Linked DNA regions of Rhinolophus ferrumequinum. The protein of the gene in region 1 purifies or fractionates together with the protein of each later gene. This does not show direct contact. Links are inferred from orthologs where the notes say so. Each region holds a gene or a part of one and is shown on either strand. Other genes may lie near its edges. The genes, in order: GARS1 and GFPT1.

Region 1 (8,207 bases):
CCCAGTACCCAAGACTGAATAACAATACTTTCTCAGACATTTTACAAAGTGTTCAATTAAAAGAGGCAGATGGTTCAGCCTGGAACTCAGTCATACAAATGTTTTCCCTGAAACAGTCATCATATTTCAATATGCTTTATGCATACTTCCCATTTTGTCACACGGAAAATTAAAATGATGGATGAAAACAGGTCTGGATTTAATAAAATTAATAATTTTTACTGCTCCGTCAAGGACACTCTACAGCAAAACTTCTTGTTTTCTTTTTTCACTGTTCTGTTGGAGTGCGATGAGGAATCCAGTGACTTAGCTTGGTGTCCCTCACTTGATCAGTGCTAAAGGCAGGCAGTTTTACCCATCAGTGCAAATGTGAACACAGTGCAAAAGGAAAATAGCATCTTATTATAAAAATGGCTTTGACCTTGGGGACTTCTAAGGATTTGCTGACCACAATTTGAGACCAGTGCCCTAGAGCAATAGATCCAAAACAAGACACTGCAGAACAGAAGTTTCATTACTATATGGTTAAAAAAAAAAAAAGTATTAGATCTTTTTTCAAAGCTAAACCTACTCAACATAAATAACTTCTTTATTCTGACTTACGGTCTGCCTTTTTTTCTTATATATTAAAATATCCTTTTTTTAATGAAATGAAACACGAATTCAGGTGGCAGTTTGATGCCTGTACTCATTTTTTAAATGTCCTTATTTGGCAAAATAAAAGCTGGCCACCCTATGCTAATTCCTAATATTTTAAAAACTAAATTGTCCTATAGTGCCCTCATCAAACAACTAATGCAGTTTTCCTGATATTCTGAAGCCCTCCTACAAGTTTCTAACTAATCCTCCAAGAAATACCTAGGAATATGCCATGGGAAAATATGTCAGTCAATCAACAAACCAAACCTTTAAAAGCGACAGCATCTACACAGCCCAGTCAATTACCAAATTAATACAAAACACGTATTTGTCGGAAACACATCCCACCAACAAGACCAGTTGTTAAGCACCTTAAAATTCCCACTCCAAGGATGTCTTCAATTGCATACACTTCACAATGGAAATATGCAAAATGGAGAGATGGGACAGTATGTCTCATTTCCTCATAAGCAAAAACCAAAATGGGTTTACCTAGAAGTCTTTAAATCCCTTCCAGTGTGATTTAAAGTTCATATATGTGTGGTCCTAGAAAATTAGAAAAAGAACGTGAACTAACTTACATAAACTAACTTACATATTCAGAAAATACCTTAAAGTACAGAAAAAATTAACAAACAAGCCAACATAAACAATACAGGAGATAGTCATGGCATGGGGAGGTTGTTCCTCCATCAAAGTTAACTACTTCCCCAGTTCTGACTACAGATGAGTAATTTGCACTCCACTTCCAGACTAACGTGGCAGAGGGAGGGGTTTGGGCATGTGCTTTGGTTTTTTTCTTTTCTTTTTTTTTTCAATTAGATGTAGGACATGAAAGTGAAGGACATGACAAAAAAATTGAGAGTCACAGAAAAGACAAAGGGACCACACCTAATTTTATTTGGGGACCGTGGGTGTAGAGAGACGGACAATAAGCATACACAGAGTCCTGATAATAATGAAAAAAATTAAGCCCATAGTGAAATTGCAAAATAAAACACTACTGACTCAGTCAGGTTCACAATAGCAAGAAGTAGACATTGCAAAGTGGCAGGATTTGCTGGATTTGTAGCAGCTCTACCCAATGAATTATTGCTGAGAGAGGGTTCCACCCTCTGTAGCTAAGGCAAGTTATTGCATCAGGCGCCCGTGCAGGAGAAACTCGTTTCATGTTTACTACGAAGTCATCGATCCCCGGGCTCCTATTCCAAGCTTCTGGCTCTACCTGACTGGATGTGAAAATTCATCTGAAATAATCCTTTCCTCGTCCTCTCTAAATTCAGTTATCCACGCAGTGCCCTAGGAAAAGCGGGCCTGTACAAATCACCAAGTCCTCCAGCCATAAAACGTCCCTCCCTTCCGCAAAATCAAATTTCGAAATGTTCCAAACGAAGGATGGCTGACTTCACCGAGTAACATTTACGGTTTCCCAGGTTTACGATCTGAAACTCACTCATTCCAAGTGGCCCTTTCGGAAACCAGAAAAAAATGACAGGAGCGAAGGATGAAGAACTCACATCATTATTAGAAGGGGAAAAAAGAAAAGTTCAACACACCCCCACATCCACGTTTCAACTCTGTCTTTTCTCAGCCGGTCGTTCGGCAAACTAAGCACTGCCTGAAGGAAGGTGTCAAGGAGGAAACACCACGCGAAGCATCCCGAAGAGCCGGGCTGTGAGAGGAGAGAAGCCGTAGCTTCGGCTCGTGACTGACCAGGGAAGAATTAGGAACCTCGGCACCCAGGGTGCACAAAGATCACAGCGGAGGCTGGAAAAGCGAAGTTGAGGTTACTGAGCTAGGACAGGAGGAGAAGCAAAGGGTCACTGATCGCAACGCCATCGGGGAGAGAGCAGGCGCGGGCAGTAACAAAGATGGGGAAAGGAGGACAGATCGCGAGCGAGCGAGGGATGCAGTTGTCCCAGGGGATCCGAGGGAGTCCCCCAAGATGAGGGAAGGACGGCGGTCCGTGGGAGGGAAGGTGGCCGACGCACCCGAGGACCTGGGTCCAAAGTGGCGGAGGCGAGGAAGATGCCAGGAAACCAAGGGCTTCCAGAGAATGAAGGCGAGGGGTCACGGCCAGGTGGACGGGTGCCCGGGGAGAAAGAGGACAGGATACAGGACGGGAGGGTTGCGGGCAGCGCCCGGGCCAGAGGGAAGGCGCAGAATGCCGGTACCTGCTGGCGCACGGCGAGCCTGAGAGGTGCCAGCACCTCCTCAGCCCCGGCGCCGTCCATGCTGCTCCGGGAGGCGGCGGAGAATAAGGTCGGGGCGGGGGCGCGCGTGCTGAGGGGCCGGCGAGGCAGGAGCGGTGGCCGGGCCGGGAGCCGGGCTGGCAGCGACAGCAGCAGAGCGGCGCTGGCGGCTCTAAGCAGCGCCCGGCGCGGAAAGGGCATGAGCCGGCGGCCCTGGGCGGCGCGGAGACTTCGGCGGCGGAAGCGGCGCGCGCCGCCGGGCCCCGAGCATGATGAAATCGCCGCGTAAACGCCGCGGCGCGCGCGCAGCCGCACATTCCACACGCCGCAACGCGGCACCGGCTCGCCGCCAGCAGATTCGACACAGAACCCCGGAAGAACCCGGGATCCTTCGGCGCTCCGGGAGGGCTAGCCCCACCCGGGACGCCCGGGAGGGCTGCGGGGTCGCAGGTAGCCCCCTGCCAACAGCGTTGCAAAATGATGCCTCCGGCCACCCCGAGGGTGGACGTTCAAGGACACAGCTCCATTCGAGACGTGCAAACTGAAACTCACGCGGACCTTCAATGCATAGGCTTGTACACGGGCGGGCGCTGACACGGCTGACACACTGGGAAACACACTACTGTTTCTGTTCTTTTGCCCCGTAGGCCTGAAAGGGTCTTAAAACATCAAATCTGATGGGGGCTTACATTCAATGTTGCTCAAGCTCAGATGTTTCTCAGATGAGGAAACAGGGCAAGAGGGTTTAATGACTTGCCCATCTTCACACATCCACGCCTTGCCAACGTCAAGACAAAAGCTGGGGAAAGGGAGAGGAGGAGTGACGGACTTTTGGGAGATCAGTGCTGATCAGCCTTTGCAGGGTGAGCAGGATTTGAACCAGCAGGAATGAGGAAAAGAAAGAGGCAAAGGGACGAGAAAAAGCAGGGAAACATGATAAAGCAGGGCAGTGAAGAGGAGCTACCTCAGCGGACCTGCCTATTGGGGATGGCTCCCTTCCTCCCTCCTGTCCCAAGTGTGGGTTAGCTGGACAGCTGGATTCCCTTTGCAGAGAGGGAATAGAAAAATAAAAAATGTGTTGGTTAGTAAAATAGCATCGCCAAGAGAAGGCCTAAAATGAAAATGATGGGAAATGCCAAGGGATGCACGAGGGCTCTCCTGCACTGAGAAGAGGGTCAACGGGAGAAGCGACAATTGGAGACCGGTTGGACAGCCATACACACCTTCCCTGTGACCAACAGTGCCACCCAGGAGTGTACACCAGCAGACAGGCTCACCAGAAGGACGACCTTCCCCAGTAGTAGGAAAGTCCATGTTACTTTTCTGTCTGTTCCAATTTGTAGAATCGCACTTTGTGAAAAGTATTCGCAATTTAGCATCAGCAGGGAGGGTGGCTGAAGAACCTTTTGCAATATGAAACAATTTGTATTTTTAAAACTTTTATTTCGAGATTTGATATTTTATTCATCCTAATTTTTCTTTGGCTTTGCTTCAATCGGTAATTTTTCATTTATCTTAATATTTTTAAATATGAAAACCGATCTTAATTTTTATATCTGCTCTTATTTACATTGTTACTAAAACATATTCAAAGTCTGTATCCTTTGACTCCAGTTATATATTTTTTAATTCTTTAGATCAATACTGTCTCCCATGTTCGTGTGACGACAGTCCTATCACTGGTCTCCCAATCCGTTCTTCCCCCGTCCAGTCCGCCCTCCCCACTGCTGCCTCAGTGATTATTTCTAAAAGGCAGAGCGGTGGCACGTTACAACTCTGCTCAGGATGCTTCACTAGGTCTATGTGGCTCTTAGCAGAATTTCCTGCGTCGTTTTCCTTAGAAAACTACCTCTGCAGACAATAATAATAGCTTATAAATGTTGAGGGCTTACTGTGCACGAGTTAGTATTATAAGTTATGTAATTTATTTACCAATCTAATGAGATAGGTTCCATAATAATACCCATTTTACAGAGTCGGGATTCAAGGCACCAAGCTATCAAACACCTTGTCCACAGTCACGCAACTACCACGTGAGCAGCGGGCCAGAATGTGAGCGGGGGGCAGAGGCAGCTGTACCATGTAGCTAATGAAACCACTGAAGCTGTAAGTGAGCTTCAGGGACCCTCATTTGGGTGGGCTCTTTCAGGACCCACGACAGGCCCTAGCATTGTCATACATGGTCATAGTTTTTTTTTCTTTTCTTATGAAAGTTCTTTTCTTTATTTGAAGAACGAACTTTGTGCCTACATTGAGATGTACAAATCTTAAGTGTGCATTTCAAAGGATTTTGATAAAGGAATACCCTCTTATAACCCATGCCTCAATCAAGATAGAGCATTTCCCTCAATTCACAGAGTTCCTCCTGTCTCTTCCTACAGACACACAGGAGGGCTGCCATGTGAAGACAGTGACACAGCTGTGACCCCAGGAACAGCAAGGGTTGGCGGCCACCACCAAAGTGAGGAAGAGGCAAGAAAGGATTCTGGATTCTATCCAGAGTCCCAGAGGCAGCCTGGTCCTCCTGACACCTTGACTGTGGGCTTCTAGCGTCCTTAACTGTGAGAGGATACATTTCTATTGTTTTAAGCTACTGGTTTGTGGTACTTTGTTACAACAGGCCTAGGAAACTAATATAAAGAGCATGGTTATTTTTTCATCCTCTCAATCTTTATTCTTTCTGATTATAAAAAAAAATACTTGCTCCTTGGAAAATTTCAAATATTACAGCAATATATAACTTGGAAATTGAGAGACAGAGAGGGAAAGAATAAGGAGGGAAGGGGCCTTATAGTTTTTAAATATATAGAATGTATCTGTGTTACTTGCATTGTTTTACAGAGTGAATAACCGCTGCATTTTGAAAATATTTTGAAGTGGTATAATATGGAAAGTCCTTCAAAATCGAGTATCTCCGTGATAAACACTATTTTAGCTGGGTCCACAATTTGTACTATTTCTAAGCAAAGCCAAGTCCATTTCACATACATACATAATTTCCTACATAAGTTAGGGAGGACTCCTTCTCTCTCATCTGCTCTTTCTGTGCTCTATTTCCCTCTGTTGTTCTCTTTCTCCTTTCCAGAAGCTTCCAACAGTTAACCCACTCCTTAACTCCTTTGAGTTCTAGCCAATGGAACATGATTGCACTTGCCGCCACCACTTCCCAGCCTGGCCTATATGAACTCCCATGTGTCACCCTCCATGCTGTTCCCTTTGCTGCTGGCTGGAAATCGATGTCCCTGTGTTAAAGATGGCAGAGCCTGGTTCCTGAGTGACGATGTGGAACAGAGCCCATTGCCACACCCCTTTCCGATAAGCTCTTTGAACTGGTGACATGAGTGAACAGTACATTTCCATTGTGTTTAAGCTATTATACATGCTGATGTTTGTCAGAGCAGCGAGCTTGCCCTAACTACTCCACGAACACAGGGCCGTGTATGAGAAAGGTGGGGGGGATATCTGGGACACGGGAAGAGGGCGAGGGTGACATGAGCAGCTGATCGGCCAAAGTTCTGTTTATACATAACCTTTTCAGGAGTGCGGAGTTAGGCAAGGCGGGGCTCACTCCCACAGGCTGATGGGGAATTATCCAGAGTGAGTGGACTGACTGGTGGGCCCTGGGCCACTTCCCTGGGTGAGCACCTCTCCAGCTTTCTGATGCCTCTACTTGAAGTCAGGTACCCACCCCTTCTCCTTCTCCTGCTGCTTGTCCTTCGAGCTAAGGTGTGTGCAGAGTTCCCAGGAGCTGGTTTTCTTCCAGCCCACACCTCCAGGATTCTAAGGGATGCTTCCCAGACTTGGTGTGGATGGGAAGACGTCACACGCCTCGTCCCAGCTCCTCCTGTAACTCTCTGGCCTCAGTCTCCCCTTCTGAACATGGGGGGGACTACACCTGACCTCTAGCCCCTTCCAACTCTCACTATGGGTTTGTGAATTTGTGACTTAGGGAAGAAAATCTCTAAATGGAAAGAGAACAGGTTTCTATCTGTCCAGCAGAGGGGAGCAGCTCCCCACAAACCAGCTCCCAGGCAGAGAGTGCTGTGCAGGGGTGCTTGCAGGCCTGGCCTTCAGAGGGTTGCTAAGCAGAAAGATGTTTGCACACAGGAGCCATATCCCCTTACAAACTGTCCAATCCCATGTCCCTCAGAACTTCCTGATTAGCACGGTTTCCTGATGGTCACCTTACCTGGACAAGTTCCGGTTGATAAACTCCCCCTTCATCAGGGACCAAGACTGGACATGATACACCTGGTGGATGTTCTAACCAGAATCAAGGGAGCAAGACCATTTCACGACCTTTGATGACGTGACCTGAGACCCTTTGAAGGACTGTGACTGTTGTGACTCCAGGGTGGGGATGAGAGATGATGGGTTCTTCGGCCACCAGGAACCCTTCCACGGGTACAGGGGTGTGGTGTGAGGATGATAAACCGCCTGCTGGAAGAAGGGATAGTATCCATTCAGGGACTCAAGCCAGAATTTTTCATTCTGAACTTGACATCTTTCTCTCCTTTACCCACTAAATACAGTTCTTGCCTATTTTATTTATCTCCAAGCCTCTCTCAACTCTGTTTCCCCTCTCCCCCACCTCCTTCATTTCTTACCTGGATCCCTGCAATCCTAGCTCCTTGCTATACTTACAGTGAGCGTCCCAATTTGGAAATGTGATCATGTGACACACACACGCACACAGAGCCTACCCATGACTTCCATACCCCTCGAGATAAAGTCTGCTCTCCCCATAGCCTACCTCTCGGTCTCCCTCTGGCCAGTCTCCCACACTCTGTGATCCAGCCTTACTGACCTACAGGGCGTGTGGCCTTTGGCCTTTGGCCTCTGCACAGACTCATGCCTCTATCTGGAACCTACTTTCATCTCTATCATCCCTCTCCCACATCACCCCCAAACCTCCTCAGTCCCTTCCACCTGGCTTATGCCTTATATAGGGCAGGGTTCTTGGATACAAACAAGAGCCCATTCGGGCTAGTTCAAGTGACAGGACATCTGTTGGAGGGACAGCTGGGAGACTCCAGAGTGAATGGAAGCTTGGGGGCCAGGCTGAAGAATGCTCAGACCTGAGACAGCTCTGAATGGCCAAGAAGCAGAGAGCGGTGTATTAATTAGGAATTGCATTTGGCTACAAGTAACAGCGACATGAAAAACAGAGGCATAACAACACAGGGCTCTACTTTTCTCTCATCCAAAAAGAAGTGCAAAGGCGAGAAATCCAGGGCAGGTGCAAGGCATAAGGATATAGGGGCTGAGTTCTCTGAGCTTCTCTTGGCTTTTCCCTCAGGGCTAGTTCAAGATGGCTGATGAACTGCCAACCACTAGGCTCACTTCTCAGGCAGGAAGGATAAAGAAAGGAAACTG
Region 2 (7,567 bases), on another chromosome or scaffold:
CAAGTACAAAAGCATCACCTCAAATATCTTCTAACACTTTTTAGGGACCTGAAATGTGAAGTCAAAAATTCCCAAACCACAGAAAGAGAACACTAGTTGCAGAATGCAAAGTAGGGATGAGGTTCCATAATAAAAGACGTAAGAAATACTGGGTTAAACAAAGTTAAAAGGTTTATTTGTAGGTCTTCCTAGAATCTTTAACCTTGCTAATTGCAAATCTCCAAAAGCAGAATTTCCCAAACTTTTGTGTTAATAAAACTCTTTCCCACCTTCTACTGTTCATTATCAGCACCTATTAACTTCTCCCTTTGCGGGGAACACAGTTGAGGAAATGCTTATTAAGCAATTAATTATTTTCTTTTACAACTACTTTATATCCAGCATGATCTCTAAAGATATGTTAATAGTACCATTTTATGACTTATCCTAGCAGCAAGTCTCAGCATCCCTCAATTACTCCCAAAGCCATTAGACAGTATAGTTACAAAAAACTTTTTAAGAATTCATTTCAGGATACTTTTAAATTGCAGCTCCCTCACTGCTTTTAAATATAATCCCATTTACAAAAACTCTATTTATATACACTAACATTTATTAAAAAAAAAAAAAGCAAAATCTGTTAAAAAAAAAAAAATGTGGGTACCTGAAGCAGCTTGACACTCTCTCACCAAAGGCAAAGGTAAAACAATTAAAAAAGAACTAGTGTAATTTCAAAGGATCAAGAATAAGAGGAAGATAAAATAAATTTGGAAAGCGGACACACTATTAGACTCTGGGAGGTTCACAACACTTATTAGCACATTAAATGTTCTATGAAGTCCTCCAATTAAAGAAACCAATTCAACATTGTGTAATCTGTTGCTCCCAAATTTACCTGACCATAGAATCTTTTTTTGTCTGATTAACACTTATTAACATCCCAATTCAACCTGGTAAACATTGTAACAGTTTAATCAGTGTATCAGATTGAAGAAAGGCAGATCTCAGAACCGGCTAGCCCTCATTATTCTGCTTCAACATTTTGCAATGTTGAAACAAAAAATCTTTTAGAAAAACCTGAATAGGCAGCAGGTAACCAGAAGTTAAATCTCTAAATTCTCCTATCGAATCTCATTCCCCACTCAATTTCTCTGCCTAGAAATTTTAATGATTAAAGATGTGGGAGGAAAACAAAGGCAAACTCTTGTCTTCACAATTAACCTTCAGAATTTACATTAGTTCAGGATATAAATTAGTTCAGGATCATATTCCTGGAATCATGAAAAACTCCGGTCTGAGTTAAAAGCAGGACCTCAGAAATGCCTCAAATACTAGTTCTTTCTTTATTATTTATAACCTGTCTGTTTTCTCAGCAATAAAACTCTGTGGCATAGGGATGTTGGCTAAGTGAAAATTCTCAACATCTAGTCTCCATCCTGCAAGCCCCACTCTACTCTGCACCTTTTCCAAACCAGATCAGATATTTTCTTTTATAATACTTTGACTTCCTTTTTCCTGGAACAAGATGAAGAAATGACCTGTAACCTGAAAGCTAGGTGCTTAATCAGGCACACACCTCATGATTCAGGAACAATTAATTACCAAATGGAGCAAACTGAGGATTAAACAGTTTGCAAATTCACTACTTCACAGCTCCAAATCATATTATGTGTTTTGTAAAACCACTCTACTAACTGGACATAGCAAAAATACAGTATATCTGATTCTAAAGTGAGCAACACTAATAATTTCAGCAAGCTGTTCATAGGTGTTTCTGTTTCTGCTTTTTAATCTACTCTAAATTTAAACCTGCTCCTCCTTTTCAGAAGCTGAAATTAGCATAATGTTAAATACAGGAAAAATATACACTAATGAGAACAAGCCACCTCCAGCTCAGTTCTTTTGCAAAAGGCTACAAAGAATAAGTTTCCCAGATAGTTTAAATTCTATTAAAGTCATTATTTCCCTTTAAAAAGTGTTTTTTATTCTTCCAGGAGTAAGGTCAGTTGTAAATTTCATTAAGGTAAGAATAGAATTCTTTATACTGACAATGGCCAAGTTAATACCAATTTTAGTGCATATCAGTCATTCCAAATATATTTCTGACAATCCCTTTTAGCTAACACTTTTAGGTAATATTGAAACAACTAAGTCTCAAAACAAGAGGCTAAACTTTATGTTTTAAATGTTCTAGGTAAAACAGTCATTAAATGTAGACCAATATTTTCCCTAGGTAAGTCTTTTTAAGTGGGTGCACATGCAAGTGATCAATGATGTATGATCTATCGCCACGGTCACTTCTGGGCGGCTTCCACAGAGGATCAGTAAAGCCCATTCACCAAGTTATTGATTGGCAATGGTTTCTGTTGAGACAGGGTGGAAGAAATAAGATCATGTGTAATGCCATTGTCTTAGCTCTAGTTATAATTCTGTTTTCTATTGGGCCTGACCGAAAGAAAGCAACTAAAAATAAATATTTTTAAAAAGGTAAATACTAGAAGAATACAAGATAAGTCCAAGAGTCCTCACCTGATGTTCCACAGGTTGCCTCACCTGGTAGACTCTTGTGAAGACACCTCCCTCCGCACCTCAATTCCCTCAACCAATACAAACAATCCCCTTTCCCGATACAAGGAAAAGGGGTTCCCTTCTTTTCTTGGTTCCCTTCTTCGCGCAAAACCGCCCCTTGCGGCCCCCCAGGTCCTCTATAGGGCCCGCCCTCCTCTCAGGTGCCTTCCTAAATCCACCACCCACCTCCAGCTCTTAGTGACCGGCCCCCACCCCCAGTACCAGCAGCCACCCCGGGACGCTCCCCGCCCACCATCCAGACTTCGCACCCTCCACACTCCCGCTCCCTCCCGTGCCTCAGGCCTCAGCGGCGCCCGCACCGCACCCCAGCACCACCCCGCAACACGCCCCCCGCCCGCGGCCCCTTACCGCACATGATGCAGGAGGCACAGTCCGCAAGGCGAGTGGCGAACGGCTGGCAAGATCGGGAGCGCACACGAGCCTGTGGGGCGATCGGCGGGGTTGGAGGCCAGTGGGGCACCGACGAGATTCCCTCCGGGATGCGACAGCCTGGGTAACGACTGCCTCCTGGGCCTCCCGGGCTCGCCAGCAACTGCCTCCTGGCTCCGCCCCTCAGCGCGCACCGCGCCGCCGCCGCCGCCGTCCGCAGATCTCATTGGGTCACGTCCGCGCTGCTCACGCGCAGATCCCGCCTCCCCGCACCGCCCCGCCCCGCCCTTCCCCGGAGCCCACGCAGGCGCTGGCCTGCTGGCTGCGAAGACGTGGCAGCGGCTCGTGGCCGCATCCGCTTGGGGTTCCTGGAGCCGCCCAGCCCTTGGGCGAGCAACGGGAGGGATAGCGCAGCGGGAGAGGAATAAACTAGGTGGCTGGCAGGGGATGTCGGAAAGATAAGGAAAGAGTAGAATGGAATTGTTAGCAAAGCAAATAGCGTTGGAGCGCGCGCCTAGTGCAGTCCAAGGCCCCAAGGTCCGGCACCCCACGAAGCGGGGAAAGAGGAGGAAGAAAGCAGGAGGCCTGATAAGAGGATCCTGAGGCACAACAAATCAGAGTGGGAAAGGGACATAGGCCGAAGGAAAAAATGCAAAGAATTGAGATGAGAGATACCAAAATTCTTGATTGCAAAACTCCATGCAGTTTCGGTTAGTCTTTCTGGTGATAGGCAATTCAGTTCTGGACTTAGGCTCTATTGTAATATAGTTGGCTTCTAGAATCCCTCGGGCACCCGATCCGCCCCCCCCATCCATTGCCTCCCTAACCCCCAGTTTTGTTTTTTGCAGAGGGGCAGGAGGGGAGACTTCTGCTCCCCCACCTGAGAGGACTAGGAATTGCCTAGATTTGACAGCCTGACGTTTGACTCATGAACGATTAATCAATTCTATTAATGTACCATTCCTGCCAAAAGAAACTTAATCAAAGAGAGATGATGTTTCTGAGAATTTATTACCTGAGCATTTGCTTTAGGAAGATTTAAATGGTTTCTTTTGTCAAATATAGGTGGTTACTGTAGCTCTATTAATGATTCTAGGATAGAATCAAGTAAAAACTTGTATGGCACACAGAACATGGCATGGACTTCTGACCCCAGATGTGTCATCTTAGCTCACACTACTGCTCTCTTCCTACCCCAAATTCCATCCCTTTACACTCCAACAACACTCAACAGATAGTTTGAGAATTGGGCAAACATTCTCAAGTCTTTTGCACACATTGGGTACACTTCATGAAATCCCTACCCATCTCTACTTAAATGCTACCTCCTAGGGAAAACCTTTTTTTTTTTTTTATCTCCCCCAGACAGACTTAAACACATGCATTAACTGCTCATTCTTTGCGCTTCCCCCTTTAAAGTAATATGCTTTGATATTTTATTTTTTGTACATTTCCCTATTAGGCTAAGTTTCTTGAGGCTAGAACAAGTCTTAGCATACCCAACACCTAGTATAAACCCTAGCATAAAATAAGGGATCAAAAATGCTTTTGAGTGAGTGGAGAAAAGTCAAATGTTCTTAGCAGAATTGACTTTCTATGGCTAGTTATATGATCAAATGAGCAAAGGACTTTTCAGTTTTTTCTTAGAGGGAAAAAAATGCCTTTTTACCACTGGCCTCAAAAAGAGGCCAAGAAATGTCACATTTAACTAATAAAAGTATTTCAAAAATTTAAGTCTTTTAGTATTTCAGGACTTTAAACATGTTCTTAAATCACTCAGAGCAAAGTTTAAAAACAAAAACAAACAACAGTGAGCTGTTAGATAGTAGACAACATGTTTCTTAATTCAAGAGGCAAAGTCTCTGTGGATATACATCTTAACCTCAAAACCCTCATCTAAGAGTTTCTGGTAAAACCTCAGTGACATTGCCAAAGAGTCAAAGTATGAGTCCAATATTTGAGCAATACCTTTGTGCACTGCCAGAAACTACCTGTCAATGCTACAAAGAGAATGCCCGCAGTACTACCAAAGTTATCATGCTCAAACTATAATAATCTATTGTCCTCCTGGCTTTCCTCTTCTGTTTGTTACTCCATCATGACTGTCAGTTTGTCGTGTCCATCTCCATTCTACAGCTATTTTTGGAAGGTGCTTATGTACCAGTTGAGAGGAAGAAACTTTGAAGGCTCATAATCCCCAACAATTAGTAGACACAGACCAAGGGAGAAGTCTCAAGACTGAAAATCTACTTCCATAAGCAGAGGGCTGGGAAAAACTGAAGCAAGAGGCTGGCCACTCCAGTCTGGCAATTAATAGAATTTATTACGGGAAATTTACATACAAGGCATGTCTTGGGTGGCTGCAAGACAAAATGGATCCCCACACCGCTTGGCAGGTGCCAGAGAATTATACAGGGTAAAAAGGCGAAATATAGTACGTGAATGCGACCAGGTACTGGAAATTACATGCTTGACCAGTTCAGGACAACAACCTGTTCCAGAAACCAGCACATAGCAGGAGGCAAGGAAGGGGTGCTGATTTATGTCAGAATGAACATCAATTACAATCAGACAGTCTGTAAGGGGGATTTGAGGAAAGCAACTCAGTCCTGGCCTGGATCCAGCTTGCGGTACAGTGGCACATCGCACAACAGTCTCTCCTCCACACTCCATCCCTCATGACCAGCTCTTATAATCTCATACGCCTCTCCCCCCATTCCAGAAAGAGCCCTGAGTGGTCAGTGAGGAACTTCAGTAGCAGGGAAGTAGCTTGCTTACTCGCCCATTGACTGCATTGGAGATACAGTTGGCAGCACATACAAAAAGAAATTAAAAGAAGCAGTCAAGGTATGAGTAACAATTATTTCCAACCTGCCTCCCACCCCCACCCGCCACCCCCCAGGGCCCAAACCAGTGGGTTACTGGGTCACCTAGGCTTGAGGCCAGATCGTTTAACACATTTACTTGAGTTTTCATATGTGCTAACAAAGAAGAAATATTAACAGATTCATCTAGTAGAAAAACACATTTAGTTTGGATGATGACACAGGTTCCCTTCCCCACTCCTGGAACTGGATGCACAGGAACAACAGAAGTCTAAGATCAGAAAGATAAATATTTGGTAGGGACTTAAATTGGGAGATCGTCTCCTTCGGTGAGAATTACATTTGCAGCCTGATCCTTAGATGGTAATGTGGCCGTAGTCTGTGGAACCCGGCCAGGCTGTGTAAACCGTATTTGTTGGCCAGGAGGAAGTGGTGCTGTGTGGCCTCAGGAGGTGAATAGGAAGGGGAGTGTATCAGACTAGGACCGCTACCATCCCCTCTTCCAATGGTGCATGTACCGGTCCACATATATGAGTATATAGCATGTCTCCATGGGTCCTGACTGCATTAGGCTGACAAGGTCCCCCCGGGACTGAGCAGTTCTTCCCCACCCAGGGCCATGAACTAACGGACCCATCCCACATGAAAATCCCATTGCAGATTCCAGTAAATGGTCCCTGTTCCAAGGACAATAGGGATTGGTGCCCTCATTATCATAGGTTGGTTCATGGTAAGCGTTGGGACTATTGCTGTCCTTTGTTCTCCATACCTTTACCATACTGGGTGCCTCAGCCTGAGTTCCCAGCCTGGCATAGGGAGCAATAGGCCTCGTGGGTTGGTCATTTAAATGTATTAACACTGGGAAAGCACCTTCGTCCACCTAGTCAAAGTAGGTTTTCCAATCAATACCTTGTCTATTGTTTAAGGACAGCATTTTTCCAATTCCACCAACCCAGCTGCCTGTGGGCTTATGTGGGACATGAAAACTCCACTCAATAACTACATTTACCAGGTCACTATATTTTAAAGCCAGCTCTGCCTCCTTAGCTGTGCACCATCCGACTTGGACACTATGGTGCCCACTCTTCTGGTGTACCCATTCTGTAGTGCCAACGGATGGGTCAGTTGCTAAAGCACCTATTTTTGCCAGGGCACCTTCTCCCTGGTTACCTGGAGCTGTAGATGCCTTATGGGCAGAGACATGGAAAACAACAAGATTGGTCTCAGGCTTTTGTAAGCGAACCCAAATATCCTTCCGCATCTCTTGTTCCCATAAAGATTTGTTCATAATCAGTCAACTCTTCATGTTCATTGTCGAAGCCATAGTCAATCCCTTTAAAATGGCCCAACTGTCAGTAAACAGGACAGTAGCCACGGTTTATATGTGATTATAAACCCACTGACCACTGTGATTTGTTCCTGTTCCCATGCAGATGGTATCAGGGGATGATTGGATTACAACTGCCATACAGGTGGGCGATTGCCCCACCTAGCACCCTCAGTATACCAAGCTCTAGAAAGAACTTCCCATTTCTTCTTGCAGGTTGCAGGGAATGACACAGGGATAGGAGCAGGAGCATTTGGAGGGTCTATATATTCAACAGGGTCTAGTAATTGCTGCATCTCTGAAGACAGGACTCTGACAGAGTACTCCTCTGCTGTAGGTAGGCAGGCCTCTTAGTTAGCATAGGAGTCTGGGCCATGGCAGAGGCATATGGTAGAACACGTTGTCTATCTGCCCCTTGATGAGAAGGGAAGTTCTTACTGTAACTGCCTGCTCTTTGGCAAGACTCCACCTGCAGGAG

What was found.
Region 2: the proteins of GARS1 (region 1) and GFPT1 fractionate together in Homo sapiens (co-fractionation; 3 studies listed by BioGRID, with this or other methods). This does not show direct contact. The link is inferred for Rhinolophus ferrumequinum from reciprocal best matches to the Homo sapiens genes GARS1 and GFPT1.

The regions. Positions count from the first base shown.
Region 1 is NC_046303.1:11,868,017-11,876,223, forward strand, and holds the start of GARS1 (glycine--tRNA ligase), read right to left. Parts: upstream 3,209-8,207; 5' UTR 3,033-3,208; coding exon 2,814-3,032; intron 1-2,813. UniProt on the Homo sapiens protein: Catalyzes the ATP-dependent ligation of glycine to the 3'-end of its cognate tRNA, via the formation of an aminoacyl-adenylate intermediate (Gly-AMP).
Region 2 is NC_046296.1:21,409,942-21,417,508, reverse strand, and holds the start of GFPT1 (glutamine--fructose-6-phosphate aminotransferase [isomerizing] 1), read right to left. Parts: upstream 3,111-7,567; 5' UTR 2,924-3,110; coding exon 2,917-2,923; intron 1-2,916.